Rattus norvegicus: one gene and its partners. The protein of the gene in region 5 interacts with the protein of the main gene of each other region in a pairwise test. Links are inferred from orthologs where the notes say so. Each region holds a gene or a part of one and is shown on either strand. Other genes may lie near its edges.

Evidence for each region.
Region 1: the proteins of Bhlhe40 (region 5) and Rbfox1 interact in binary tests that used the Homo sapiens proteins (3 or more experiments, as listed by UniProt). The link is inferred for Rattus norvegicus from reciprocal best matches to the Homo sapiens genes BHLHE40 and RBFOX1.
Region 2: the proteins of Bhlhe40 (region 5) and Aanat interact in binary tests that used the Homo sapiens proteins (3 or more experiments, as listed by UniProt). The two-hybrid records come from large-scale screens. The link is inferred for Rattus norvegicus from reciprocal best matches to the Homo sapiens genes BHLHE40 and AANAT.
Region 3: the proteins of Bhlhe40 (region 5) and Rhobtb3 interact in binary tests that used the Homo sapiens proteins (3 or more experiments, as listed by UniProt). The two-hybrid records come from large-scale screens. The link is inferred for Rattus norvegicus from reciprocal best matches to the Homo sapiens genes BHLHE40 and RHOBTB3.
Region 4: the proteins of Bhlhe40 (region 5) and Hivep1 interact in a two-hybrid assay, tested with the Homo sapiens proteins (2 studies listed by BioGRID and IntAct). The link is inferred for Rattus norvegicus from reciprocal best matches to the Homo sapiens genes BHLHE40 and HIVEP1.
Region 6: the proteins of Bhlhe40 (region 5) and Aamp interact in a two-hybrid assay, tested with the Homo sapiens proteins (2 studies listed by BioGRID and IntAct). The link is inferred for Rattus norvegicus from reciprocal best matches to the Homo sapiens genes BHLHE40 and AAMP.
Region 7: the proteins of Bhlhe40 (region 5) and Smyd1 interact in binary tests that used the Homo sapiens proteins (3 or more experiments, as listed by UniProt). The link is inferred for Rattus norvegicus from reciprocal best matches to the Homo sapiens genes BHLHE40 and SMYD1.

What each region holds. Positions count from the first base shown.
Region 1 is NC_086028.1:8,996,592-9,000,891, forward strand, and holds the start of Rbfox1 (RNA binding protein fox-1 homolog 1), read right to left. Parts: upstream 2,801-4,300; 5' UTR 2,572-2,800; coding exon 2,485-2,571; intron 1-2,484. UniProt on the Homo sapiens protein: RNA-binding protein that regulates alternative splicing events by binding to 5'-UGCAUGU-3' elements. Regulates alternative splicing of tissue-specific exons and of differentially spliced exons during erythropoiesis.
Region 2 is NC_086028.1:102,324,823-102,329,122, reverse strand, and holds the start of Aanat (serotonin N-acetyltransferase), read right to left. Parts: upstream 2,801-4,300; 5' UTR 2,747-2,800; exon of another isoform or gene 1,130-2,746; 5' UTR 1,069-1,129; coding exon 912-1,068; intron 42-911; coding exon 1-41. UniProt on the Homo sapiens protein: Controls the night/day rhythm of melatonin production in the pineal gland. Catalyzes the N-acetylation of serotonin into N-acetylserotonin, the penultimate step in the synthesis of melatonin.
Region 3 is NC_086020.1:7,094,753-7,098,906, forward strand, and holds the end of Rhobtb3 (rho-related BTB domain-containing protein 3), read right to left. Parts: intron 3,221-4,154; coding exon 3,105-3,220; 3' UTR 501-3,104; downstream 1-500. UniProt on the Homo sapiens protein: Rab9-regulated ATPase required for endosome to Golgi transport. Involved in transport vesicle docking at the Golgi complex, possibly by participating in release M6PRBP1/TIP47 from vesicles to permit their efficient docking and fusion at the Golgi.
Region 4 is NC_086035.1:22,792,776-22,795,196, forward strand, and holds part of Hivep1 (zinc finger protein 40), read right to left. Parts: intron 1,993-2,421; coding exon 1,487-1,992; intron 1-1,486.
Region 5 is NC_086022.1:143,173,316-143,177,249, forward strand, and holds the start of Bhlhe40 (class E basic helix-loop-helix protein 40), read left to right. Parts: upstream 1-1,134; 5' UTR 1,135-1,453; coding exon 1,454-1,533; intron 1,534-1,701; coding exon 1,702-1,771; intron 1,772-2,049; coding exon 2,050-2,157; intron 2,158-3,061; coding exon 3,062-3,185; intron 3,186-3,934. UniProt on the Homo sapiens protein: Transcriptional repressor involved in the regulation of the circadian rhythm by negatively regulating the activity of the clock genes and clock-controlled genes.
Region 6 is NC_086027.1:83,315,526-83,319,460, forward strand, and holds the start of Aamp (angio-associated migratory cell protein), read right to left. Parts: upstream 2,801-3,935; 5' UTR 2,306-2,800; coding exon of another isoform or gene 2,239-2,305; 5' UTR 1,792-2,238; coding exon 1,671-1,791; intron 1,478-1,670; exon of another isoform or gene 1,445-1,477; coding exon of another isoform or gene 1,342-1,444; intron 1,213-1,341; coding exon of another isoform or gene 1,210-1,212; coding exon 1,054-1,209; intron 361-1,053; coding exon 241-360; intron 1-240. Other genes in the region: probable hydrolase PNKD, read left to right, coding at 2,239-2,305, 3,038-3,206. UniProt on the Homo sapiens protein: Plays a role in angiogenesis and cell migration. In smooth muscle cell migration, may act through the RhoA pathway.
Region 7 is NC_086022.1:104,760,194-104,763,233, reverse strand, and holds the end of Smyd1 (histone-lysine N-methyltransferase SMYD1), read left to right. Parts: intron 1-744; coding exon 745-913; intron 914-1,757; coding exon 1,758-1,916; 3' UTR 1,917-2,540; downstream 2,541-3,040. UniProt on the Homo sapiens protein: Methylates histone H3 at 'Lys-4' (H3K4me), seems able to perform both mono-, di-, and trimethylation. Acts as a transcriptional repressor. Essential for cardiomyocyte differentiation and cardiac morphogenesis.

The DNA of each region.
Region 1 (4,300 bases), on a different chromosome or scaffold from region 5:
CTGACTTTAAAGAAGAGTCCATGAGAGGGACCTAACTAAATGTGCATCTGTAAGCACTGACTGCAGCATGAGTCTGGTGCTCTCTTAAAACTTAAAGATGCAAATTATTTTTTCTTTAACTGCACAAAAAATGAGCCATGCCGGCCCACATTTCAAAAGTGTCTCAGATATCAATTCAAAACAGAATATCTTTGGCCACAGAACTGTTGACTGTTGTGTTTGGGAAGACTGTAAAATTGTGAACAGTACCTCAAGCAGCTTGCCAGAGGCCCCTGCACATAACCACTGATGCTGTTCCCAAATATACAAGCACAAGGGGTCGTAGCAAGGACGAGTCCACACTCCCGGTAGTTTAGTTGTCTTGCTGACATTACTAAGTTTCTAAAGAAATTTGAATCCTGGCAGAAGGGTCTTTATTCTTGACTTGGGTGAAACTCCCTAAGGCTAAGTGCCAAGGTAGCTAGGGCAGGAAGTGGAAGGTGAAAGGAGAGCTAGGCTTTCCTACCCCTTTCTATCACACCACATCCTTTTCTTATGAACAGAACTGCAATGGGAGGTGTTGTAGTTTCTTCGAGTCAAGTGGTGTGGCCTCCACAAACAGCAAGACGGCTAGCACCTCCATGTGCACAGCCTTGCAGTGGAGTGGGTCCCAGTAGCTCATCAGAGGCTCCTCACTGACACACTCAGAAGAGCTTGTAGGTCACTAGTTCAGAAGTTTTCATTTGGGAAACAAATGAGAATGGATCAGGTTAACATTTGCAAGTAAAATAACTTGTTCCATTCCAAACTAACCAGTTATGTTTCTCGAACATTCTGCCAAAGAGGAAGAAATAGTGCCTTCCCAGCTTCTCTGTTGGCTCTGGCGTCTTCTCATCTATCATTGGGGTAATACGTTCAGAGTGGCATTTTGTAATGACAGAAACATCCCAGCAAATCGATAGTTATTTAATTCCCAACAAGCTCTCGAGTCCATTAAACCTGATTACATTCACCCATTTCGGTGGGTACCGTTATTCTCCTGCACCAGCACTTAATCTATAACAGGAACTTATGAGAACTTTCAAAAGCAATTTCAGCATCAATCAGCATGGAGTGAAATGAGCGATTTGCTTGTAATTATTTATCGGATAGGGCAGCACAGGGGCCGACAAAACTCCAGCCTTTGACCTTCACCCCAAATTTCCAACAGAAGCAAAAAGCACTGTAACTCTGCTTCACCCTCACGTCCCAAGTCTCATGTCACCATCTGGCCACAAATTCTTTTCCTTGTTGTCAGGACTATTCTCTGCCTGGCCTATTTACCTATAATATAGAAGTGTAGCAATAGCATACATCCAGGGTCAATGGCAGTTCTGGTGTTGTCTGGACTAACTGCTGGATAGATTCCACCACCCAGCTTCTGACAGTTAATAAAAAGTCACAGTCACAGTCACAGTCACAGTCACAGTCACAGTCACAGTCACAGTCACAGTCACAGAACAAGAAGAATATTTGTTTGGGATCCTCCGCAGAAGTCGTCATTAATGAATTGGTCTTGTAGAACTCTCAAACAGAGAGTGTTGGGTAGGGGTAGTACGACAGGACAGAAGCTAAAGTGTCCTGCATATATTTAATTTTCCTTTCCCACAGAAAGGAGATTTAGAATTTATTACCCAGGGCTGGTTATTTCCAAAGAACAGCAACAAATAGCCACTTGCTTCCTACAATGACCCACTTCTATCACAAGTGGATGTCGGCTTTCCAGAGAACTGCAGGCATACACCCAGAAGCAACGGGTTTGAGTGACAGCACGGCGGTACAATAAGGCAAAGAAACAGGTCCCAATTTCTCGCTAGCACATGAACCTCTCGGCACACAGAATAATAGCCTTAGCAGTCAAAACAACAGGCATTCCAACTTCTCCCTGGCTGCCGAGAACAGTTGGCATGGGGTTTCCAGAGTCACCCCTGAACTTCCTAAAGAAACCATTCTCAATGTTCTCTCTTGTTTGTGGGTCACCTCTCAGATTCAGAAGGGGGAGCCTCTCTGCAAACAGACAACCTGTGTGGGGTGTCCTCCGTAGCACTGTAGTTCCTGCCCTTCGGTTTCCGGGGTTAAAGCCTTTAAGCAAGCCACAACATGATAAGTTACTGAGCCTCATGATCTGCTCTGGGAGACCCAGTCCCTCAGAAAGCTGGGGAAGAGAGCAAATCTTTTGCCCCCTGGTCAACCTCCCGAAGCAGAGGCATGAATGTTAAACAGCACCCAGATCAATACAAGCAAATACAGCTCAACTACACCATTTATTCATCCATGAGAGATGTCAATAGCCAGATTAAGGTGATCCATCTTTTTGATTTCCTACTGTCTTTCCTTTGACTACACGAGGGCTGCCTTTTTTCTCTTCCTGTATTAAAAGTGTTTGCTTTCTCAACCATAAAAATTCCAATTATTACTCAGAGCACTCTGGAGTTAAGTTGCTTGCTGGCAAAAGCCATGAATTACCTGCATCAGTCCCGGGAAGAAGGGGGCAGCAGGCACAACCATAGGCACGCCATAAGAATGCAGAAGGACTCCTTGCGACGCCAACATGCTTTAAATGGAGGCTTTATTCCCTCCAAGGCTGAACACATCAATAGAGAGTTAGAGGGGGAAAGAAATCTATAGACCCAACTTCTTCTCAACTACAAAGCCGAGAGCCAAATCGCTTCTGTCAGGAGCCAAGTGCTCATCCACAGGCGGCGGAGAGGGGAAAGGAAAGAAAATCCTGCATCAGCAACTCTTAATGTGAAAGTTTTCTTCACAGACAAGGAAGGGACGCGGCAGCTGCAGGGTCGGAGCTACCAAAATGGAAGGAGCTATTTTGGGAGCAGCTCGCCCAACATGACTAACCAAATACTCTTCATTAATTTAGTTCTCAGACCGAGGGAGATGGAGTGACAGGGAATCAGGGAAAAAGAAAAGACATTTGTCCTGAGGAACTGGGCCAAATTGCAAGGGGCTGGGTCTACATGAGATTTTTAGAGAGAATAATGAATAGAAATGTGTAAGCTTACAGGACAATCAATTTCAACTTAGAAAACTTAAATCTTTACCTATATAAACCATCACCGGAGCCTAAGTTTAAGTTCTAAATTGCAACTGATTGTTATGTAAACTTATGGACTATCATATATGTATGAGGACCCAAGTTTGGATCTCCAATGCCCGTGTATGAAGTCAAGCAATGTGGCATACACGTGTATTCCCAGCACTGGGAAGACGGAGACAGGAGGATCCTGGGTCTCACCTGTGAGCCAGCATAGCCGAACAGAAAGTTCCACATTCAGTGGTTCAGTGAAAGACCCTCTCTTTACGTAAGTAAAAAGCAATAAAGGAAGATACCTGGAGATCACCCTTCGACATTGCACATACATTTTCATTCTTATACTCATCCCCCCACAGTTATGTACAAAAACCAAACCAAACAAAGAAACAAGAACAACAACAAGAAAAATGACAGCAAAAAACCCACTCAAAGGTAGCAGGTTCATGTGGGCAGCTGATCAAAAATTACCTAAGAATAATCAGTATGTGGTAGCAAATCTCAGTGGTCCTGGAACTCAGAGGTGGGTATAGGAAAATCGGGAGCTCAGCTGTATAGCAAGTTTTAGGCGAGCTTGGGCTACACGAAACTGTCTCAAAATATTTGACTCACTTTCCTCCCCTTTTTTCACTCGATTTCAGTTTGAAGAGGCAATTCATAGCTAAAAGGAAATAATAGCAGAAGTCTGAGTAAATTAGTTTTGTGGGTTATTGCACTCAGTCCTTCCACATCTCTGAAGCAGGGGCTAATCCCGGACCCAGGAAGCCAAGTAACCATGAGGAACCCGAACGCACGCTAGTCAGCCACTTTGCAGCCAGTAGGAGGCAGTGCTGAATTTAAAATACCTCATACACAATCCCTAGTTGTCTTGCTGGATTGCACTGTGACTTGTGATCTAGAAATGTGTTAGCTATCTTGGGGGCCACAGAGTAGGTGCAGACTTGCTGGTGCTGTGTTCATGTGTGAAGGGATTTCACATGGCTTTTACATGTGTGTCCCAGCTGTGATACATGAATCTGCTATATATTAAACAAAGATGAATTCCCTCCCACCACCCTCGCTTTCAGAGATGAAAGGTGTTGAGGAGTATGCAAAGTGAAAGCTGGGGTGTCCCTTTCCTAGCTCTACCGTCTCGAGCAACTTCATTTGCCTCGTAGACTCCAGATCTATTTGGGCATGTAACAATGTCAGAATATCTCGTCACCTCCTTGCAGTGTGCAATAGAGGGAGTTAATC
Region 2 (4,300 bases), on a different chromosome or scaffold from region 5:
ATCCAAGTGGAGGGGGCAGGTACCCGAGACTGAGATAAAGGCTGCAGCAGAAGGAAAGGATGAATGGCTGCTTGCTGTGTGCTTGTCTGTTGTTTGTGCACACACGTGGTCACTCAGCTCATCCCCGCCCCGCCCATCTAGAAAGACGTGTGACTCTGGGCTGTTGCTTCCTACTCTAGAGCACACCTCCCTCCCACTTCTCTCCTCACACACGCTCCGTGTGCATGCGAGCGAGCGTGCGTGCGTGCGTGCGTGCGTGTGTCTGTGTGTGTGTGTTTGTGTGTGTGTATCTGTGTGTGTATCTGTGTATCTGTGTGTGTATCTGTGTATCTGTGTGTGTATCTGTGTATGTGTGTATGTGTATCTGTGTATGTATCTGTGTGTGTGTATATGTATCCGTGTGTGTGTTATCTGTGTGTGTGTTTGTGTGTGTATCTGTGTGTGTGTATCTGTGTGTGTATATATCTCTGTGTGTATCTGTGTGTGTGTATATCTCTGTGTGTGTATCTATGTGTGTGTATCTCTGTGTGTGTGTATCTGTGTGTGTATATCTCTGTGTGTGTATCTGTGTATATCTCTGTGTGTGTGTCTGTGTGTGTATCTGTGTGTGTATATGTATCTCTGTGTGTGTCTCTGTGTATCTGTGTGTGTATGTATATGTGTATTTATGTGTGTGTATCTGTGTGTGTATATGTGTGTGTATCTGTGTGTGTGTATCTGTGTGTGTTTCTGTGTGTGCATCTCTGTGTGTGTGTATCTGTGTGTGTGCATCTCTATGTGTGTATATGTGTGTGTGTATCTGTGTGTGTGTGAGAGAGACAGACAGACAGACAGACAGAGCTCAAATTTGACTCCTTGGGAAGCCTGGGAAGATGACACTGGCTCAGAGCACCCGCCCAACCGCCACTCACCTTCGCGCTCAATCTCAAACGCACTGGTGGCATCCTCCGGCGTGAGGCAGCGGAACTCACTGGCAGGGAGTGTGTGGCGCCGCTGGCAGCCTAGGAACTCTGAGGTCCCAAGAGGCAGATGCAGGGCCTCAGGTTTCAGGGGGTGGATGCTCAACATGGGTATCTGGCCACTGACCCCTCCCTGGGGTTCCCCAGCTTTGGAAGTGGTCCCTTAGCACCTGTCAGAGAAGAGAGAGAGAGAGAGTCTGGCCTCCATTGCAAGAATGCATGTCAGGCGTCTCTTGGGGTAGAGCCAGTCCCCAGGTGCCTGGACCTCAAGGCCAATTACAGGAGCTTGAGACGTTCGCATGATTTCCTCGCTGTCACTCATGGGCTAGAAGTCCCTTCAAGCAACTGGTCAAAGCTCCAGACTCTACGTGTCCTCCAGCCTTGGGAGACTGTGGGCACCATAACCACATGTGTGCATCATACCCCAAGACCGCAGTAGAGCAAGGAGCATGAACCTGTAGCCTCTTCTTCTGAGTCTGTGGGGTGGGCAGGCTCCCAGCTCCCCGTCCCCACCAACCCCGCCACACCACCAGTCATGCAGCTACTGCCAGCTCTGCGACTTGCCTCACCCAGAGGGAGACGTCTTGTCTTCTGAGTGAGACAGTATGGCCAAGAGTTTTTGTCCAGTTTTTGTTTTTTGAAGGAAATGTATGTGCCTGTGTAGCTGTGTGTAGCTGCGTGCACGAGCCTCCAGAGCCCAGAGGCGATGCATCTCCTGGAGCTGGAGCTCCAGGTGGTTGTGAGCTCCCCAGTATGGCTGCTGGGAACTGAGCTCAGGTCAGAAGCGGAACTCAGACACGCTGTTAATCTCTGGGCCATCTATGCTCCCCCAGGCTGAGAGCTTTTTACATTGTCTCAGACCAGGAGAAAAAGCTCTTTAATTAATGTGAGCCCTGACGTCAGACTAGGTCATGCTGTGGAGATGGGGGAATAAGACGGTTAAAGAGCCTAAGGCTGGAGAGTCTGAGGTCAGGAGGCTCAGGTTTGGAGGACACTCAGGGCGACATGCCTGTCCCGTCAGCTTAGGCACATAGAACGTGGCAGTGCAATAGCCTCTTTCTTAGGACACCCTAAAAAGCGGTGATCCTTAGAGTATGTCTTCCATCCCTCAGCCTTCAAAAGGGGCTGAGGAGTTCAGGTGAGGCCGCTCAGCAAGTAAAGCGACTTTCCACCAAGCCTGAGAACCTGAGTTTGATCCCAGGGACCCACATGATAAAAGGAGAGAACAGACTCCCACAGCAGTCCTCTGGCTTCCACATGTGTGCACCGCACGTGCACATAAAGTGACTGGAAAGGAATCTTTTTAAATGGGCGATGGCGATGGCTCAAGCACAAGGACCTAAGCAGGAGCCTCAGAACGTGAAAAAACCAGCTCCCATCACCCAGCATCTGTGTCCTGGCACCTGAGACACAGGGTTGGGCAAATCCCTGGGACTTGCTGGCCCCCCTAGCCAACCCAGCCCACTTAGTGAGCTTCAGACCAGTGAGAGACCTTGCCCCAAGAGATGAAGTAGACAGTTCCTGCAGTTCCCAGAGAATGACACCCAAAGCTAACCTCTGGCCTCCACTCACACACACACACACACACACACACACACACACACATACATAAACACATATACACACATACATATATACACTAACATACACATATAAACATGCACACATACACATGTGCATACACATACATATATACACAAATACATGCATACACACATACATACATACATACATACATACATACATACATACATACATACATAGAGCCAGGGATGGGGTCCACTTACCAGAACTGTAAGAAGGAGTCCAGGTGTCCCCACCACAGAGCTGGTCACACTGGGGCTGTTACTGGGTGCAGGAATGAGGAGAACCTGAGACTCCTGCCTGCGAGGAAGCTGTAGCCCGCATTCCCCCTGACAGCATGTGATGGCTCAGAGATTCTAATCCCCCTGGCCCTGCCTCCCATGTTACCCCAGGCAGTATGATGCCAGCAGGGCTTGGTAGTCAGGCCCTGACCCAATCCTGCTGAGGGCTGGCGTCATCGGTGGTACTGAGGACGTAGGAAGAATTACAAGTAGCCATCTCAGGCTATAGGGAGAGCATGGGCTAAGCCTGGGGTCTAACTATAATCCCTGCTCTGTCTCCAGCTGGCTGAGGACCAGTCACCACCTTCTGTTCCTCAGAGGTCAGTTTGCCCATGCCTCTGAGGGTCCTTCCTGGTCAGGAAACCTATAACTTACAGCCACATACCTAGGGAGGCAGCTTCTACAACCCGCAGGGTACCTGTCAGGTGAGTGCAGCTGTCCATTTTACAGAGGAGGAAACTGAGGCTCTGCTCCATTACTTGAGGGACCCCAGTCAGGTACCAGGAGAACAGGAAGGTCTCTAGAAACAGTTTTCACAGTCTCCAGAGCAGAAAAACCTCAATACCATCAACCAAAGAGAGAACTATGGGTCTATATAAAATGTCACCGTAGGTGTTTGGGGGTGGGGTGCATCATGCAGCCCCCAGAAGGAGACCAACACAGCGGTGACAGGAGCTGAGAAACACATGTGGTTTCTAGTTCAACATCCAGTCCAGATGTTAGGACCCGGCTGCTGGATGCCCAGGTGAAGGCCTCAGGGACACTGGCAAGGTAACTAACTATTCAGTCGGACAGTGCTAACTCATGCAGTCGTCTCCATGTATGTTATGCTCAACGGGGCTCCAACCATGCCAGCCCTGGGGCCTTCAGCACCTGCAATCTCTCTGTCCCTCACGCACTTCTGTTTTTCCCCTTTCCTTCCCACTCACACCTCATCCTGCCTCCCTCAGCTCTTCCGGTCAGCTCATCTTACCATATGCTTCCCTGCTCCACTCGACACGGTGTGGCTCTTTGAATTAGCTGTCCTTGCCAGCTCAAGGCACTGAGCCAGGAGGAGCATTCCCTGAAGCCGCCAGCAGAGGGTGCACCTGCTACGACCAATGATCTCAGAGAGGTGCAGTTCCAACTCTGATCCTTGGAGGATCAGGGCCGGTACACACACACACACACACACACACACACACACACACACACACACACACACACACACACACAGAGAGAGAGAGAGAGAGAGAGAGAGAGAGAGAGAGAGAGAGAGAGAGAGAGAGAGTCGCTATCTGTGGGGTCCTGCTCCCCTTAACTGCATGCTCCCTGGACACTTTCATTTTTCCTCTGCAGGAGCCCCTTAATGGACTGCTCATGGATGATCAAAAAGCCAGCCCTTGGGCCTGGGGGGGGCACACTGAGAATCTCAGCTAGGCACCCCATACTGCCAACATCCAGAGTTTGCCAAGATTGTCCCTCCCTTGTCACCGG
Region 3 (4,154 bases), on a different chromosome or scaffold from region 5:
CTGGGGGATTATTTTATCCCTTACACAGGTATGAAAAGTAACATCATCTCCTTATCTCATCTTACTTATATGAGGCATCTACAATACTAGCAATACTCAGGATTTTATACATAAGGGAAACTGTTTATAAAATGCAATTGTGCTTGAGAAACTTAATATCCCAAAATCATTTCAGCAACAAACATTCAGAGTGAAAGAATTAACACTCCATTGAACTTGTTTTTTTTAAAAAAATGGTTTATTTGTTATAAAAGGTTAAATACTAAAGCTAAAAACATATAAATTCAGGTCAGGCTATATTAAAATACATACATACCCTTTGCAAAATCTGATTAAAAGTTGCAGTAAACAGATGCTTTAAATAAAATACAGTAATTTTTGAAGACATTTTAAATCGAATTGGCTATATCAGTGTAGTATCATTTGTAAAATTACAGTTAAAAAGTTTGGCCAGTTTGGAAATCCATCTTATTTCTCCGCCTTCCACTACTCAATATGAAGCTCCATTCTGGCTTGCACAGGGGTGGGTTTCAGCTACTAGGCCAATGTTCTGTTAGAAATCTAGTCCTCTGCAGAAGGAACAGGGATGTGGTCAACAGCATACAAGGAATGCACAACAAGATGCAAGCCCAGACTAGAAGTAGCCTTAGTTCAACTACATAGTATCCTTTCTAAGTAAAATGCTTGGCCAATAGAAGCAAGAAATTGCAACAAGCATATCACTGTCTAGAAATAACCTTTGATTGGGAAACAACCCTTACAACCAGCAGTAATTTACACAAGATCATTTATAAAGATTCAAAATCTCCTATTACTTCCAACTGAGTGGATTGGAATTGTTGAGTAACAATACCGAGGCCTTTGTATTCAAACATTTAAGAATTCATCTATATTCTGACTCATGGCTGTCTCAGTCACACTTTATGTTTAACATGCAAGACTACCAGTTCCAAACTCAACTCCTACTCAGGAAAAACACCCTAGTAAAATTAGTTATGATCCACCTAAATGTTAAAATAATATTTCCAAGAAAATGTTTTTTTCTCAGCTCCTATTTTTCATGTCAATATCATAAAATTTTAGAATTTTAAATGTCATTAGTACAGAGGGTGAACATAATTACTTTAGAGTATCAAAGGCCACCACTGATCTGAAAAAGCAGAGGAACTTCTGGCATCAGCTGTTCTTTCTAATGCTAAGCCACCAAATGGGATTTGCCAATGTTGATTCACTCAAGTGATTAAAATATAAAGGACAAAATTCATTTCAGTAATCTTCATTGACACAGCAAAATTAAAATAAGCTCTCTTGGGATTCTTTCCCCTTTATTCTGATAGTTTGGTATGTATAATAGGGCTTTCTGTATGGAATCCTAACACTACAGGATAAGATTATTGAATCAAATTTTTGAAAAGTTTGAAAAATATGCATACTAAAAATCACTAGAAATTAGAAAAATATATCCCATGACCATGATATTAACAAAAAAGAGTAATATGTTTTTCCATGCCGTTGAGCATCTTGCAGAATCATTTCTGCAAATATATGCTATGAGTGATACTAACTCTGCCTTCAATCCCAGACACCATTGTCTCTACATCGACAAAAAAGGATGTCTTTGATTTACATCCTTTTTTACCTTCCCAGGTGGCTTTGCTACTTCATACCAAATAGTCTATCAGTCCTTGAAAAGAACTCAATTCATGCAATTGGCATCTTATTCTTAACAGTTAAAAGAAAGGATATTTAAGTTTTTAGGCCCAAGTCTTTAGAAGACATCTTTTCCTGTGGCTTATCACTCTGTGTATTATAGTCAGGTTACTCTATCAGTCTTAACAACTTCCTGACTTTACATATTGATCAAGAAAGTATTTGCTTTTCTGGGGTACAGCTATAACTGGGGGAGTGTTTCAAAACCAACAAAAAGCATTTCAGCATTTCTTATTGCCAGGAAAGATCTTTGTGGAGGCGCATGGGCATATGTCCTTTCCCAAAGATGGGAGTCTCCACTCTGCTCTTCTGGCCAAAAGCTACTGTCCTTTCCTGGCTATCAGCAACGTTTCTGCTTCCATAGAGAGAAGGTTTGAGCAAGAAAAAAAAAACATTTTAAGCTAGGCATGGTGGCACACATCCTTTATCCCAGCAGAACTTTGTGAATTTGAGGCCAGCCTGGTCTATAAAGCAAGTTCCAGAACAGCTAGGGATGTTACACAGAGAAACCCCCTCTGAAAAAACAAAACAAAACAAACAAAAAATGAAAACAAAAAACAAAACAAAGCAAACAAAAAATGAAAAAACAAAACAAAACAAAACAAAAACAAAAACAAAAACAAAAAAAAAGGAAAAGAAAACAGTATCTCAGCATTTTTTTCTTGTTAGGAAATACACACAATTTTGGGGAACCGGTGCAAAGTGAAAACATGGGCCCTTCATCAAACATTTTTAAGAATTTAACAACTGTACTAGCAGAGCACTAAACCAAATGCCAGACCCTTCTAAGTTTGGAAGTCGATAAACTCTAGAAGGTTACACAGAGATAACTACCAGCCTACTTAGGTTTGCAGCCTGATTGACAAGCAGATGTGGGTGGATGGTACAGATGGGGCTATCATATTGATCCAAATACTCTTAATGGACTGGAAGCCAGATGACACATGACTATCAAAGACATGGGCAAATTTCTATTTCTACAATTTCATGCTGCACTGGTTAGAGCTCCTCTGAATTCCATGGTTCCGCTTGGCTTTTAAATGCTCCTTATTTTAGCAGAGCAATCACTCAGACATGATGAAATTTTTGTATTTATCCTAGATTTTTTAAATTAAATATCTTTTAACTAGGAGAGGTCTTGATGTTATTAAAGCAATAGGGAAACTTAAAGGAGACCCAATGTCCAACAGTTTTATATTCTAGATGAAGCATTAATTAAGTCTGTGGTAGCTTTTGTTCCCTTTTAAGACCACCATAGTCTTTAAAAGGTAACTAGTAAGAAGCTATATAGTGATTTTTAAAAAACATTGATTTTAGTTATAAGAATTTTACTGGAATCCAGAAGTACCCATTCTTCATAATAATAAAAAAGTGTAAGTATGCAAAAGCTCAGGTCACATGACTAAACAGCGACATTTCCGGGAGTGGATATATTTCCTGTATTCTGCCAGCTGCTTCAAGTACATGTTTGATGGCCATCTGTGCTTTTCAACAAAACTTCGTTCTTCCACTAAAGTTTTAAGAGAAAAAAAGTTAATTGCATATACTTTATTTTTTGACAAGATGAAATACCAACAATTAATTTCCTTTATGACAGAGGATCTCAGTCTCTTATATTCTGAGTCCTTCCTGTAGCCTTCCATAATCATGTAATAGAATATCAGTAAAATATCATCAGGATTTATGCTATTACACAATTTACATTGACATACTCTTCCACCAAGTAGCATTTGACTGCTATCCTTTTCTTTTCCAATAAAATTTCTGCTTTTACTTTAGATAACAAATTCATTTTTCTTTGTGGAGAACTCTACCATTCACACTAACGTCTGCTGACTCTAGTTCCCATTCAGTCATAGCCACCAGCCAATCTATTCATTCTTGGTGTTACTTCCTGTGCTCCAGAGTTTACTACAAGGTAACTTGGTGTTACTTCCCATGCATGCTCCAGTAACTTGGTGTTACTTGCTGTGCTCCAGAGTCTGCCACACTGTAACTTAGTGTGTGTTATTTCCTATGCTCCAGACTCTGCCACACAGTAACTTGGTGTGTGTTATTTCCTATGCTCCAGAGTCTGCCACACTGTAACTTGGTGTGTGTTATTTCCTATGCTCCAGAGTCTGCCACACTGTAACTTGGTGTGTGTTATTTCCTATGCTCCAGAATCTGCCACACTGTAACTTGGTGTGCGTTGCTTCCTGTGTTCCAGAGTCTGCCACACTGTAACTTGGTGTTGCTTTCTGTGCTCCAGAGTCTGCTACACTATAATGCTCCAATCAGCAACACTGTAACTTCCAGGCTTGCTCCTCCTGTCTCTCCTTAGGCTGGCTGTACACTCTGGACCCACTTTCATAGGAACCGGGGTTTCAGCCCAGGCCCTCAGCTCAAGCTTAGCTCCATCAGAGTCTGTGAATCTATGACTGGATTTGACTTTTCTAGTTTCC
Region 4 (2,421 bases), on a different chromosome or scaffold from region 5:
TATTTGACAGTTGTTGGCTTGCTAAAAAAATTGCTTTGATTTTTTTAAAAAGAAATTTTCAATAACAAAAATAGCTTCATTTTAAATTTCTTTCCTATTACCAATACTAGGAAAAAAATGATATAGTGTTTTGCAATCCGCAAACCAGTTTTCTAGGCATTACTTTATACTGATAGATGAACATGACTATTTTTATGTTGATGATATTTTTTGGGCACCAGCTTCACCTCTTTCTTTTAGAGACAAGGAGACGTTGAGAAATACCATATTAATTAGCTGTGCCAACTCAACTGGGAAAAAATTAACCAAGATATTATTCACTTCTGAAATGAAGAGCTGTTACTAAGACAAAGGTCTGCAGTTGTCCATTAATTGCTAACTCATTCGTAAGCTGTCTACTGACGGCTACATTTTCAGGCATTGGTAGTTATGTGGCTTCCATATCTAAGATGCATTCGGCAGCTTAGGACACAGGTGAACACGATTTTTAAAATGCTGGGGAGGATGAATCTTACCTGTCCTCCCTTTCATCCATGACTTTTATCTACATACTGGCTTTTTCCTTGCATATACATACATTTCTATATATGTTAGGGAGCTGTATTAGTTCACATTATAATTTAATTTCTATACTTAACAGAAAAATTAAGTTTAGATTTAGTATGTAAAATTCTAAACCTTTGGGGGTTGGAGATTTAGCTTAGTGGTAGAGCGCTTGCCTAGCAAGCGCAAGGCCCTGGGTTCGGTCCCCAGCTCCGAAAAAAAGAAAAGAAAAAAAAATTCTAAACTTTTATTTTTCTCCAGTGGGAAACATCTTTTCCCATTAGGAAATAAGCCCTACCGCCTTGTTCAACACACAGGGGAAGGGAAAGAATTGTCAGAGAGAGAGAGAGACAAAATTATTTGTTGGTTAGGAGCCAGCCATGGAAAAGCATACAGTAAACTTCTCAAACTTCTCCGGAGCTGGGTGTCTGGCACTGAGCTCCCCCGGAAGGAAACTTTCCTAAGATATTCTATCAGTTTGCTCATGCAAACAACATGAAATCTTGAATCATTTTTGTGTCCCACTAAATTTGTTATGACTCCTACTAGCAAAGCACAAAATCTGGAAAATGTGCTATGAGCTCATCATATCCACATTAGTGGAAACACAAGAGTCAACCACTGGGTCCTTACGTCTCAGGATGTGGGTTTAAAACTGGTAAATACATGTTATATTGTGATTTAAAAAAACTCCACAATTAATAAAGAAGTATATTTTTTAAAGCAGCACCACAGGTTATAATATACTATGTGGAGTTTTGTCAAGATAATTTACAAGGCTTTAACAGACATAAATGAATTCTGTCATCAATTAACAACAAAAAGGTACACACTCATATGGTCATAAATGATTTTCTTTAATCTATTAGGTTTTCCTTATAGAATAAGAAGAGAAAACAAAAAACAGAGAATTCCCCACCCCTACTCCCACACACTCATCTACCTGTATTGAAGCAACAGTGTTTCCAGCTGCAGGGCTTCTCAGAGCATCAGATTCAGAGTAATGCACAGACATCTGATGGCCGGGAGACCTGGGGGTAACTTCTGGGGAGATGGGAGTGTCTACAGGAGGAGCCAGTTCAAGCTCATCTTTCCCAGTATTCTGCCTGGCCTTTGCTGTTAAGTCTGTCCTGTTAGGGTCAATCTGCACCGTGCTCAGAACAGTCATCTTGGTGAGTAATGCTCTAGGCAGAATGTCCATTGGGTCAGTGTGTACCCCTGAGAAGCAGCTGGAAACTCTAAGGTCCTCCTCTACACTCCCAGGATCCTGAAGGCCGCTTCTGGATGGGAGATGCTGTGGGCTCGCTGTGACTGACGGTGCTGCTGAGAGGCCGGACTCTGCCTGGCTATCGTCATCATCCTCTTCGTTGTCATTATCATCCTCATCTGGGCCATCAGATTCTTCAAGATCAAAGCCAGACCGCTCGCAACCGAATCTTTGCTTTTCGTCTAATATGACAACCAAAAAGATTTGTTACAGAATGTTCTACAAGTACACAAACACGATGATGTCATTTTTAGAAGCTCAGCAACACTGTCCAGCACACAGAAGATGGCCACCCACAGCACACTTCAGAAGAGTGATGCAGAAAAGCAGCCAATCAAGTGGCAGGACATGAGGGGAAGGGCCATGATGGGGTGGCAGGGAGGCACATGGAATGAGCCTTCAGAGAGGAAGACACAAGCACAGTGTGAGGTATAAAGAAAAGAAATAAAGCCTCAAGTATTATATTAGAAAAACTCTTAAATATGACAAGAACAACTGTTCTAAGCTTGTTCTCTATTTTCCTATTGTTGGGTCCAAAGGAAGCTCCCTCTTCCCAAATTCCAAAAGGCAGAGGGACAAATGGCTATCTGTGGCGCCTCTTAGCATGTCAC
Region 5 (3,934 bases):
TCTGGGCCACGTGAAGCGTCACGCCCCGCGCTGCTGCAGGGCAGGCGCCGTCGCCGCGGTTGTGTAACTCTGCAGCCGGAGGGGAGGCGACCCGGACGCCTCTGCATCGGAGGGGGCAGAGGAGGGAGGGAACGCCGGGCACCGTGCCCGGTATCTTTCTGTGCTTGACTAGCCAGGGTGGGTGGGGGCAGTGAGGCACCCTGGAAGGCGGGAGGAGATGGGTGCGCGCCAGTCGGGTGCCAGGCCACCCGCAGGCTGCGCCCGGGAGCTGAGCTCCCGGGAGAGTTGGGGGAGGGGAGGGTCCGCACGGCTCACACGGTCCACGGTCAGGTGCGCTCGGCGTGCTCGGCGGCGGCCTCGGCTGCCCTAGCGCCTGGCCACCAGCCCGCTTCCCATGGGGTGACATCCGCCCCGCCCTCGGTCCCTCCCCAAGGCGGGCAATTCCTGGACACTGAGGCTGAGCGTTGGGGGGCTGGGAAGCCAGGACGGAAAGAAACCCCAGCCTCTGGGGAAGGCCAAGGGGGGCCGACAACTCCCTCCGCTGCGCACCGGTTCCTAGGAGCGGGCCAGGCGGGGGAGGAGGAAGAGGGCTGGGCTGGAGCGACCAAGGGGATATTCCTCTCCCGGCTTGAGTCAGACGCGGGCGGAATCCGTCCTCCCCCGTTCCCTCCCAGGAGACGGGAACTTACTTCATTTCCCTGGGGCAGGTTCGCCCACGTTACCAACTCTTCCCCCCGCCCCCCAGCTCCCCAGTTCCTTCCAGCTTCCGTGCCCCCCACCCAGCTGGGCAGGACTCTGGCTGCGCTGCCACCCCCTCTTTCGGGGAAAGGAGGCCGCAGCCGCAGACACCTGGGGCCCGAGGTTTGGGGCGGCGGGGAGGGGGGGCACTTTGCAGCCGCCAGAGCGTTGTCCAACACGTGAGACTCATGTGATGAAGCCGGGGGAGGGCGGGCAGGTCGCTCCTTCCCTCCCCGGCAGCGGCCAGACGTGCTTGGAGTCACAGGGTAGAACACGTAGCTTCTACCCACCCACTCGCTCCCATTTAACCCAGCCCGCAGCCTCTCCTTACTCCTCGGCTCGTCCCCTCCAGCAACCACCGCCCCCCCCCCCGCTCCGCCCTAAGCAACCCCCCCTTTCCCTCCCGCCTCTCCACCCGCCCCACTTCTCATTCACTTGGCTCGCACGGCGCAGACAGCGCAGCGAGCACACACCGCCAGTCTGTGTGCAGAGCGGGAGCCAGAAGCCGTGGGGGACACCCGGTCATGCACGCCCCCAACTGAAGCGACACCTCAAAGCCGCAGCTCCTGGCAGCCCAGCGCATTGCAAGAAGCTCAGGCTAGCTCATAGGAACATACCCCTTGAGACCCTCGGATCCTCCCTTCCAGGGCAGTCCTCTCTCAGACTCTCTGCTAAGTGCAGACAGGAGCGCACAGTGGCCCCTGCTCGCCGCATCATGGAGCGGATCCCCAGCGCGCAACCACCTCCTACCTGCCTGCCCAAAACGCCAGGGCTGGAGCACGGAGACCTGTCAGGGTAAGTGTGCGCTGTGATCCCTTCAAGTCTCCGCTCCTCACCGTGTCTTCCATACCACTCTCAACTTGGGGCATCTCTGGGCATATAGGGGGCTTCTTGCATCTGTAGGACTTCTGCAGCCAGTACGCACTTGGGAGTCACGGCTCTTTCTGGCCTTTCTCCCTGCAGGATGGATTTTGCCCACATGTACCAAGTGTACAAGTCCAGGCGGGGAATAAAACGGAGCGAGGACAGCAAGGTAGGTGCATCCCTGGGGACCCCGTTCCTTAGCCTCTCGCGTGCGCTGAGTTTCCAAGGAAAAGTTTGCTTGTTTGAAGGTTGGCTGGGGGTTTCGGGATGTGATGAGCTTATTGTCACAAGTGAGTGACTTGGGAAAGAAGGGGCAGAGAAGGTGATCCTCGGTGCGTCTCTGCGCCCTCGCAGAATTTTTTTCCCTCTGGTGCTGGGTGGGGAGGAAGGGAGGAAGCTTCGTGTTCCCTTTCTCAGGCACCCACTGCTTCCATTTATTCCTTGCAGGAAACTTACAAATTGCCGCACCGGTTGATTGAGAAAAAGAGACGTGACCGGATTAACGAGTGCATTGCCCAGCTGAAGGATCTCCTACCCGAACATCTCAAACTTACTGTAAGTGAGAACCTGGCTGCGCTCCAACCCAGTTCTTCTGCCCAGAGGGCGGGTGGGGGTCACCCGCCGCCTGCAGGCGTCAACGGGAACTGCAGGCTAGACGGGCGGATCAAAGCTCCTAGTAGTTCTGGTTTGGAGGGAACCCAGACCCAGACCCAGGACTTCCAGGCAGAGGCAGAACCAGAACCATCTGGGGCCTCTTTAAGTTGGCTCCAACACTAGCACAGCTTCCTTTTGGTATTTTTTTTTCTTTCTCACCACCTCGTAGTCTCCCTTAACTTAAAAGGAACAAACCGTGAGATTAAAAAATTATGCCCTTCTCCTTGTCCTCTTACCATCCACGAGAGGACCTACTTTATTTAATGTGTGCCTTTTCTTTTCATCATCATCTTTACTGGTAACCGAAAGCTTTCTGGATTTTCCTTCGGGAAAAGTGTTTGGAAAGGAAGACGAAAAGCCTGCATGACTGGAAGTCCTGAACGGGTGTTTGGGGGGGGGGGGGATGTGTAAAAAAAAAATTCAGCACACTGGGAAAGCCGTTTGGTTGCCAGACACAGTAGACATCCCTCCCTGAGTTGACACCACAGCAGGGAAATGTTATCTCCGGAGTCCCCTGAGTTAAGGTCAGGGCAGCTGCTGGAGAAATATATCTGTCAGCTCACTCCCGAGACTGTAACAGCTACCAAAATGCCTCCAAAGATAGGCAACACATGTTTGACTTTTTTTAAGCCTTTGATCGTTATATGGATATGTTAACACATCTGCAAACTTTAAATTTAGTGGGGCAGGAAAAGCTCTTCCTATCTCGTTGTCTACACCCAATTCTCATAACAAATAGTGTGTGTCAGAAGGGACTTCACTGACCTCACAGGTGACGGAAGCTCCCTTTTTTTTGTTTCCTCAGACTTTGGGTCACTTGGAGAAAGCAGTGGTTCTCGAGCTGACGCTGAAGCACGTGAAAGCATTGACAAACCTAATTGATCAGCAGCAGCAGAAAATCATGGCCCTGCAGAGCGGTTTACAAGCTGGTGAGTGCCTGGCCTGATTAGTGTCTCAGCACAGATCGAGCCCGGAGGGCTGGCTGTGGCTCCTGACTCTGAGCTACCATCTCCTTTGCACATTCACTGGGGGAGATGCTTTTCTGATTCTTTCCTAAAAGGTCATACTTTCCCATACGGAATGCTGCTGTGCACCACCTGGAATGAGTACTTATTAGCCCAGTGATGAAATGTTCCTGTGACATTTTGGCCCGAGAGTGTCTCGGTTCTGGGAGACTTCCCCATCCCCCTTTAAAATGCCAAGGCATCGATAATTTGCATTGTGGGTGTTTTTACAGTTGGTCTGCTGAGCCCTCATTCATGGGTGAGCAGAACACGGGTCTGCCCCTAGTGTTTTCCTGTCCCTTTGCTTCCTTGTCTTTGGATGTGGGATGCAGTCTTGGCAGGATGACAGCAGGCTTTTTTTTTTTTTTTTTTTTTTTTTCTTGCCTGCATTTCATTGTGGTTCCCTGAATAGCCACTAGGTATCTTGGCAAATTGCACAATCCAATGAAACCACTGGTTTCATCATTCATTTATCCTGAGTTTCAGAGAATCAGGGGCACCTTCTAACCTCCCCCTTCTCCCTTCTAGATCATACAGTACAGACCAGGGGGAATCCTAACACCTACCCCTCAGGCATTCTTCTGTTCCGTCCAAGGCTAGTACAAGAATCACAAACAAAAACCAAACCGAGCCAGCATGCCTGCCAGTTTTCCTACTAAAAATAGAAAGTTGAT
Region 6 (3,935 bases), on a different chromosome or scaffold from region 5:
CTCCCTATGAAGCAACCAGAGCCTGTTTTCTCTGGGCCGCTGCCTACTCCTGCACCAGCACCGTGCTCATCTTAGCCAGCCTCCCTTGGCCCATTAGCGTTTCCTGTCCGAATGCCTACCAAACTTCTACTGCGGGTCCCTGGACCCAGTACAAGACAGAGGCTAGAAAACAGCTGCTGGGTGTTCACATGAGTCACCCGCCAAGATGTCCAAAGGAACACAACAACCCCAGCCTCTCACCTGCACACTCAAAGAGGAGCTCCCCGTCGCTGAGCCTCCACACAAAGGCTTTGTCGTCTTCACCCCCCGTCACTGCCAAGGTGTTGGTTTTGGGGTCCAGGCTCACACAAAACACAGATGCTGTCCCAAGACACAGTCCATGAGAAAGGGCTCTCACCTAGAGTTCGGCCTTTCAGAACCTTCAGGAAGCACATTCCCTTTCCCCAAAGCCACAGTTATTCTCTCCTGGGAAGGCTGCATCCAGTTCTTGTCTGGAGCATCAGACTGTTAAGAGAAATCTTTCCCAAGCCCACAAAGCTCCAAGTCCTCCTCCAGAGCATATCCCACTGCTGTTCTGTTCCCCTCAGTCTGCACTCTGAGGTGCAAGCCAAGAGGTGGCTCTATGGTCACAGCTGACAGCACAGGCCATACCAGGCTGAGTAGGAATTAAGTTATGAGCAATTCACGAGGCTACAATTCACGAGGCTAGCATCTGAGGTTATTGGTAATGCTTCTTTTCGAGTGTAAACTGCCTTTAATTTCCACTTGGGTTACTCCCATTCACTTTCATCCAAGATAACTTTTTTTTTTTTTTTTAAAGAACACCAAGATTCAGAAAGCTAACTAAGGTAACAGACTGCTAAACAGCAGAGGTAGGATTTGAACTCAGGGGTCTCACTTAACTCCAGTGCCTTTTTGGCCCTTCCTTTGAATATCCTGCAGGCCAAAGTAGGTGGCTTTCACTTTTGTCTCTCATAATAACCTCCCTAGGGCCATGGGCCATACTCAAAGGCCCATCTGCACTGATCTGAGGTGATCCCTTCAAAGGCCTACCTGAGTGCAATGCAAAGGTGACCTCACTGTCATCGGGGCCTTCCATGCTACCGACCACCCCTTCTTGGGGTTCCAGGACCCAGCCCTCGTCATTGCCCTCTTCTTCTTCCTCCTCTTCCTCAAAGTCCACGTCTTCCATCTCCTGGGCCAGATCATCTGCTTTGGGAGAAGCGTTAAAAGATGGAGCTCGAAAAGATAGAGAAGGAATGGGGTAAGGGTTGAAGAATGAAAAAGGTGACGCTAGGGTGGGTCATGTGGCCAAGGGTTAAGGTGTTGTCCCACACGTACCGAGCAGGAAGAGAGCACTTGGGGGGCGGGGAGGGAGAGAGAGGCTAGGTCTGAAGACCCGGTGTTGGCCAGCGACCGTGTAGGAAGAGAGGACAGAGGGCATGATGGGAAGGGGGTGTGTGAGGGGAAGGGCCAGGGGAGGCGTCAGGGAACCCCCACCCAGCCAGGCCTAGAAACTAAATGTGGGGGGTAGGGAAGGAGGTCTGGGAGAGAAATGTCGGTAGGAACGACCGGTAGGGATGGGGGGAGGGGGAACTGGGGAGAAGCAGGGGTCAGAGGCCAGGGGTGAGTGCCTCCTGTCCCGTGGCCTCAGGAGCGTCAGTTCTCACCCGGGTCCGGCGGGCCTGGATCCAGCTCTACCACCTCAATGATCTCTTCATCTCCGTGAAAGCTCAGAGTCTCCAGAGGCGGGGTGTCAGCGGCCGCTCCGCTCTCCGATTCGGACTCCATGCGGCGAAACCTACCGATCCACTTCTCTGGGCCCAAACGCCTCCCAGAGTCAGCTCTGCGCGACGACGCGGAACTCGAGCCCCTCCTCCCGGGAGGAAGTAGGCGTAGGTGACTCCCAGCCGAAAGAGCGACGGCATCCGGGCCAATAGCAACAGAGGTGGACTAACAGAGACGCCAATCATAAGGCAGAACTAGGATGACCAGGCCGGGGCGTGGCGGGAGAGTCCAAGCTCCACCCTACACGACTCCGCCCCCGGCTGGAGGGAAACAAGCGAGCGTGCGCGCCTCCGGCGTCTCCTGGGAGGAGTAGTTCTCCCGGGCCCGCTATGCGGACTTCTGGGAAATGTAGTTTCGACTCTGTAGGCAGGACGGAAGGCGCGGGGGAGGCCCCTTACGCAAACTACAATTCCCGACGGGGAGCGCAGTGAAGGGGGGTGGGACCCGAACATGGCGGCGGTGGTAGCTGCTACGGCGCTGAAGGGCCGGGGGGCGAGAAATGCCCGCGTCCTCCGGGGTAAGGAGAGGGACCCTGGGGAGGGCAGGGTTTTAAAAGATTCCGTTTCCCTTACATCCTACCCAGCGCGACAGCAGGAAGTCAGGCTGCCAATTGCTGCCCACATCTCTCTTTATGATCTTAAGAGAGTCTGGGGGTGAAAAGATGCTCTAGAGGTCATCCAGTCCAACCCCTGCGTTTAGGTCGCGCGGCATGTCTAGGGTCTTATTGCTAGAGAGAGTACCAGAGACATCTTTCGACTCCCGCGTCCCAGGGGTTTCACACTCACCGCAGTGCAGAGGAAAGAGCCCTAGGCTTCTGGAGGTTTGAGTTCTAGCACTGAGTAATTAGCGGTTTGACCTTGTGCGAAGCAGCTCGTCTCTCCGGGCTTCAGCTTCCTCTTCAACGGGATGGAGTTAGTTATCCTTTAGGATAGCTAAGGTCCTGCAGTTTTAAAACAGTTCCCCGAATTTCCTTCATTCGTATGTCTCCGGTGAGTTCCTCTGCAGTCCTTCCCAACCTGTCTTCTGAGTAGAACAGCAGCGAAGCTCACTGCCTTGGCACCAGGGTGAGGAGTCCGCAGTGACGTGGAAGTAGCTTCCAAAGGTGTCACCCGATGGCGATTTTCCCATTTCTCTTTAGATTCTTCACAGCACTTATTACTCCAAACTGCAGTCACTCCCCTTCCTCAAATCTCAGCCCCTCTAACCCTCCCTCATCCCCCATACTGACCTGCGGTACTTTTATTCACAGGGATCCTCTCTGGAGCGACAGCTAACAAGGCTTCCCAGAACAGGACCAGAGCACTGCAGAGCCACAGCTCACCAGAATGCAAGGAGGAGCCTGAGCCCCTCTCCCCTGAGCTAGAATACATTCCCAGAAAGAGGGGCAAGAACCCCATGAAAGCTGTGGGACTAGCCTGGTGAGTTTTAACTGCCCCTTTGCCTACCAGTGGGGAGTGTACTGAAAGGTGTTGGAACCTAGAAACTTCTCCAAGTTGCAAGGGCAGAGCTGAATCCAAGGGAAGGAAATTGCTGGATTCAAGGGATGGAATCTCAGAAGAATGGGGTGAGGTGAGGGTGGAATAATATGTAAAATTGGGGGACAGTGGCTTTTCTTTGGAGCAAATTGAGCTGATCTGATTTGGAGTCGTTGGATTCATCCTTCCCTTTGGGAGCAGGGGTAACATTCCAATCCCAGTAATTAAAATAGTGTCAGATTGTGTTGTATAGAAGCTAGAATCGTTTCTGTGAGTTCTGTGGTTCTGATTCTGGTTTTAATACATATTACTGATTATCAATCACTAAAGTAAAAGGAAGGGAAATTAACATTTTTTCCAGCAAATGTCTGAGGTATGACAGTACTGTGCCATATAATGTTTTAAGCTTTCTGAGGTAAACATTGCACTTTCATCTTGCCAAGCAGGGAACTGAGGCTCCCAGCTGCAATTGTCACCAGCTCTTGTGGCTTCCTGTTCTTTGGCACTTGCCAAGGCCCTCTTTTAGTAGTAGTTACTCTGATTGAGAGTTGGTTGACGTACCTTAGTGGTTGTGCACATGCTTAACATCTTTGAAGCCCTAAGTTCGATTTGCAGCACCGTAAAGAAAAATAGAGAGGTCTGGCAAGGGACACAAGACAGTATATGCAGAGA
Region 7 (3,040 bases), about 38 Mb from region 5:
GTACTCTGTCAGCATGCTAGGAAGGAGCCCTTCTAGGAAAAGAAAATATAGTGCAGCCCCAAGAAGGACATTAAAGTTATATTTCCCAGCTTCCTTTCATGTTCCCCAGAGAACTGGAGGTGCTCCAGATGGTACCTGGCTCAGAGTACACCTGTGGCCCTCTCTGTCCATGAAGCATTGACTTGGTGGTCCAGGTCAGATTCCCAACTCTCCTGACCTCACTGTGTAGAACATTAGTCAGCTCTATGTATTTCAATACCCCATGGCAAGCTGCTGGTGCCTTACATCACTAGTGGGAAGTCTAGACAGACTTGATGCATAAGAGTACTGGCTTTGGTGTCATGTCTGTCTGCTGTGACAGAATACCCAGAGAGAAGCAGTTTAGAAGGGAAAGGATTTACTTTAGCTTACAATTCCAGGTTACAGTCCAATCATTGCTGGGAAGCTGAAGTCACAGCACACCCACAGGAATGAATGAATGTAAGCAAGCTTGCCCTCACTTTGTCCTCTCCACTCATACAAGATACAGGATCCTCAGCTCATGGGATGGTGCTATCCACAGGCCCTCAAGACAGTCACCCCAAACATACATATAGCCTCAACTGAGACTCTTATCCCAAGTGATGCTAGATTATGTCAAGGTGACAATGGTAACCACCAGAGTATGTTAGGAGTTATCCTGTGTTCTACAGATGTGAGGACGGTTGGGATAATGAGTCAGGATTACTTTCTGTGCCTCTGCAGGAAACTCTACCACCATAACAATGCCCAACTGGGCATGGCTGTGATGCGGGCAGGGCTGACCAACTGGCATGCTGGTCACATTGAAGTAGGGCACGGGATGATCTGCAAAGCCTATGCTATTCTCCTGGTGACCCATGGACCCTCCCACCCTATCACCAAAGACTTAGAGGTAAGTAGCATCCTGGAGGTGGGCAGTCACTGTCTTGTTAGAAGATTTCTTAAGATGGGAGGCCTGGTTCATCTGGACTTTGCCTTGTGGAAGTCTGTAGACTACTACTAGACCAGAAAGAAACTTAGAATGCTTTAGCCCACCCCCTTGATTAATATGAAGAAACAGAAGCCCCATAGAGGGTAGTTCTCTGTTTATAGCCATCTGGTGGTTTGATGGTAAGGTCAGAGTTGGCTAATTTTATATCTAGTATATTAAGCTTGTCAATGGCAGAGTCTCTGTCAGTCTTACCACAGTTTCCTGGGCCTCTGAACACCTAACTTTTTCTGAATATTCCCAGAATGGATATGTGGGACAACAAGGACTACATTGCATGTTGTACACTATAATCTTCCCAACCTGCTGTAAGGTACAGAGAAATCTTGCCATCTCTTGGATGGTGAAACAGGGGGCTGAAGGGGTCAAGTCACTTTGTTGACATCCTACAACCAGAGAGTTTAGAATCCAGGATTCAGATCCAGGTACCCAGCTAATAGTGAGAAGAAGCACTTTCTGCTGAAATCAACCCTTTGGCTACTGTTTCATGCGTCCAGCTTCCTCTCTCTATGATGCTAGCCATACTGCTACACCATCTGCTCATAATAGTGTGCATGCGTACACGCACACATGCTCGCGCACACACACACACACACACACACACACACACACACACACACACACACACACGTTTCTGAAGGGATAGAGTTGAATTTTACTGACCAGGGGGTCATTTATCCAAAGATCCCTCATAACTGTGTCTTGGGAACTTCTTTTTATCAGTGCTGTATCTATCTGTGTCCCACAGGCCATGCGGATGCAGACAGAGATGGAGCTGCGTATGTTCCGCCAAAATGAATTCATGTACCACAAAATGCGAGAGGCTGCCCTGAACAACCAGCCCATGCAGGTCATGGCTGAGCCCAGCAACGAGCCAGCCCCAGCTCTGTTCCATAAGAAGCAATGAGGACCTTGTTGGAGGGTGGGGGCATTGTGGCTGCGGAGCTGAGGAAATTACTACTCTGTGTCCCCCACCGCCATTTTGGTTCAATTCAACTCAGCTTAGTTCTCTCTCATTTCAGACCAACTCTTTCTCTATGTGTCGGGTGCTAGATTCCACCGTCTATTTAACAAGGAAGCCCCAAATATACTTCGGCTAGAAAGAAAAATGTAAACAAACAAGGTACAGCATAATAGTAAATGCCACGGTGCACTCTATGGAGAGGGGTTCAGAGGAGGTGAGTGTGTGTGAGTGAGTGAGTGTGTGTGAGTGAGTGTGTGTGTGTGTGTGTGTGTGTGTGTGTGTGTGTGTGTAAAACACCTGAGCTAAGAGTGGCAGGTACCTAGAATCTCAGGTGGCTGCTTGTTTCTTTGTGCAGGGGTCTCTGGGGCTGCTGGTTTCATCTACAGTTACGAACATTTAGGGTTCTGCAGACTGGGATGGGTGATGATGACCTGTATCCTGAGGCTGGGACTGTTCTTGGCCCTTTGAGATCTACTCAATGGTGCCTAGAAAGAGGTAGGGATCTTGGGATCCTGTGGTCTTAATTTCCTAATCCAAGTTGAAGCATACTTTTAGAATAACTCTAGAACACACAGAGAAGGAATTTTTCCCTTCCTGGTCCTACCCACCAAGTCTGTATCTCCTTGTGATGTTGAAGGAAAGCTGAGGTTTTCCTGGCCATTGACTTGTAGGAGTAGGGAAGGCTTTTCAGGGTAAAGCTGACGGTGTGTGTGCCTGGCAATGACGGACCCTCAGAAGCAGTGTGTAGGGGTTTTGATACTCAGCAGTCTGCCTCAGCCTAGGCTTCATCATTGGCCTGATGAGGCTCTACCCATCATATCGAGTGAATGACAGTTCCTCTGCTTGATGCCTTTATCCTGTCTGTGCTCTGGGGGCTTCTGCCCTTAGGAGAAGGCAGTCCACACGACCTAGGAACTCATCATAAGTGTGACCAGTTTGTTCTCCTTTGCTTAGAGGCTGACTTCTGACTGAGAGATGAAGGTCCCAGAATGGCCTTTTAGTTTCTGGAATTCCAACTTTCTCACCAACATGGAGGGAGACCATGAAGTAAATTCCTTTAGTAGAAG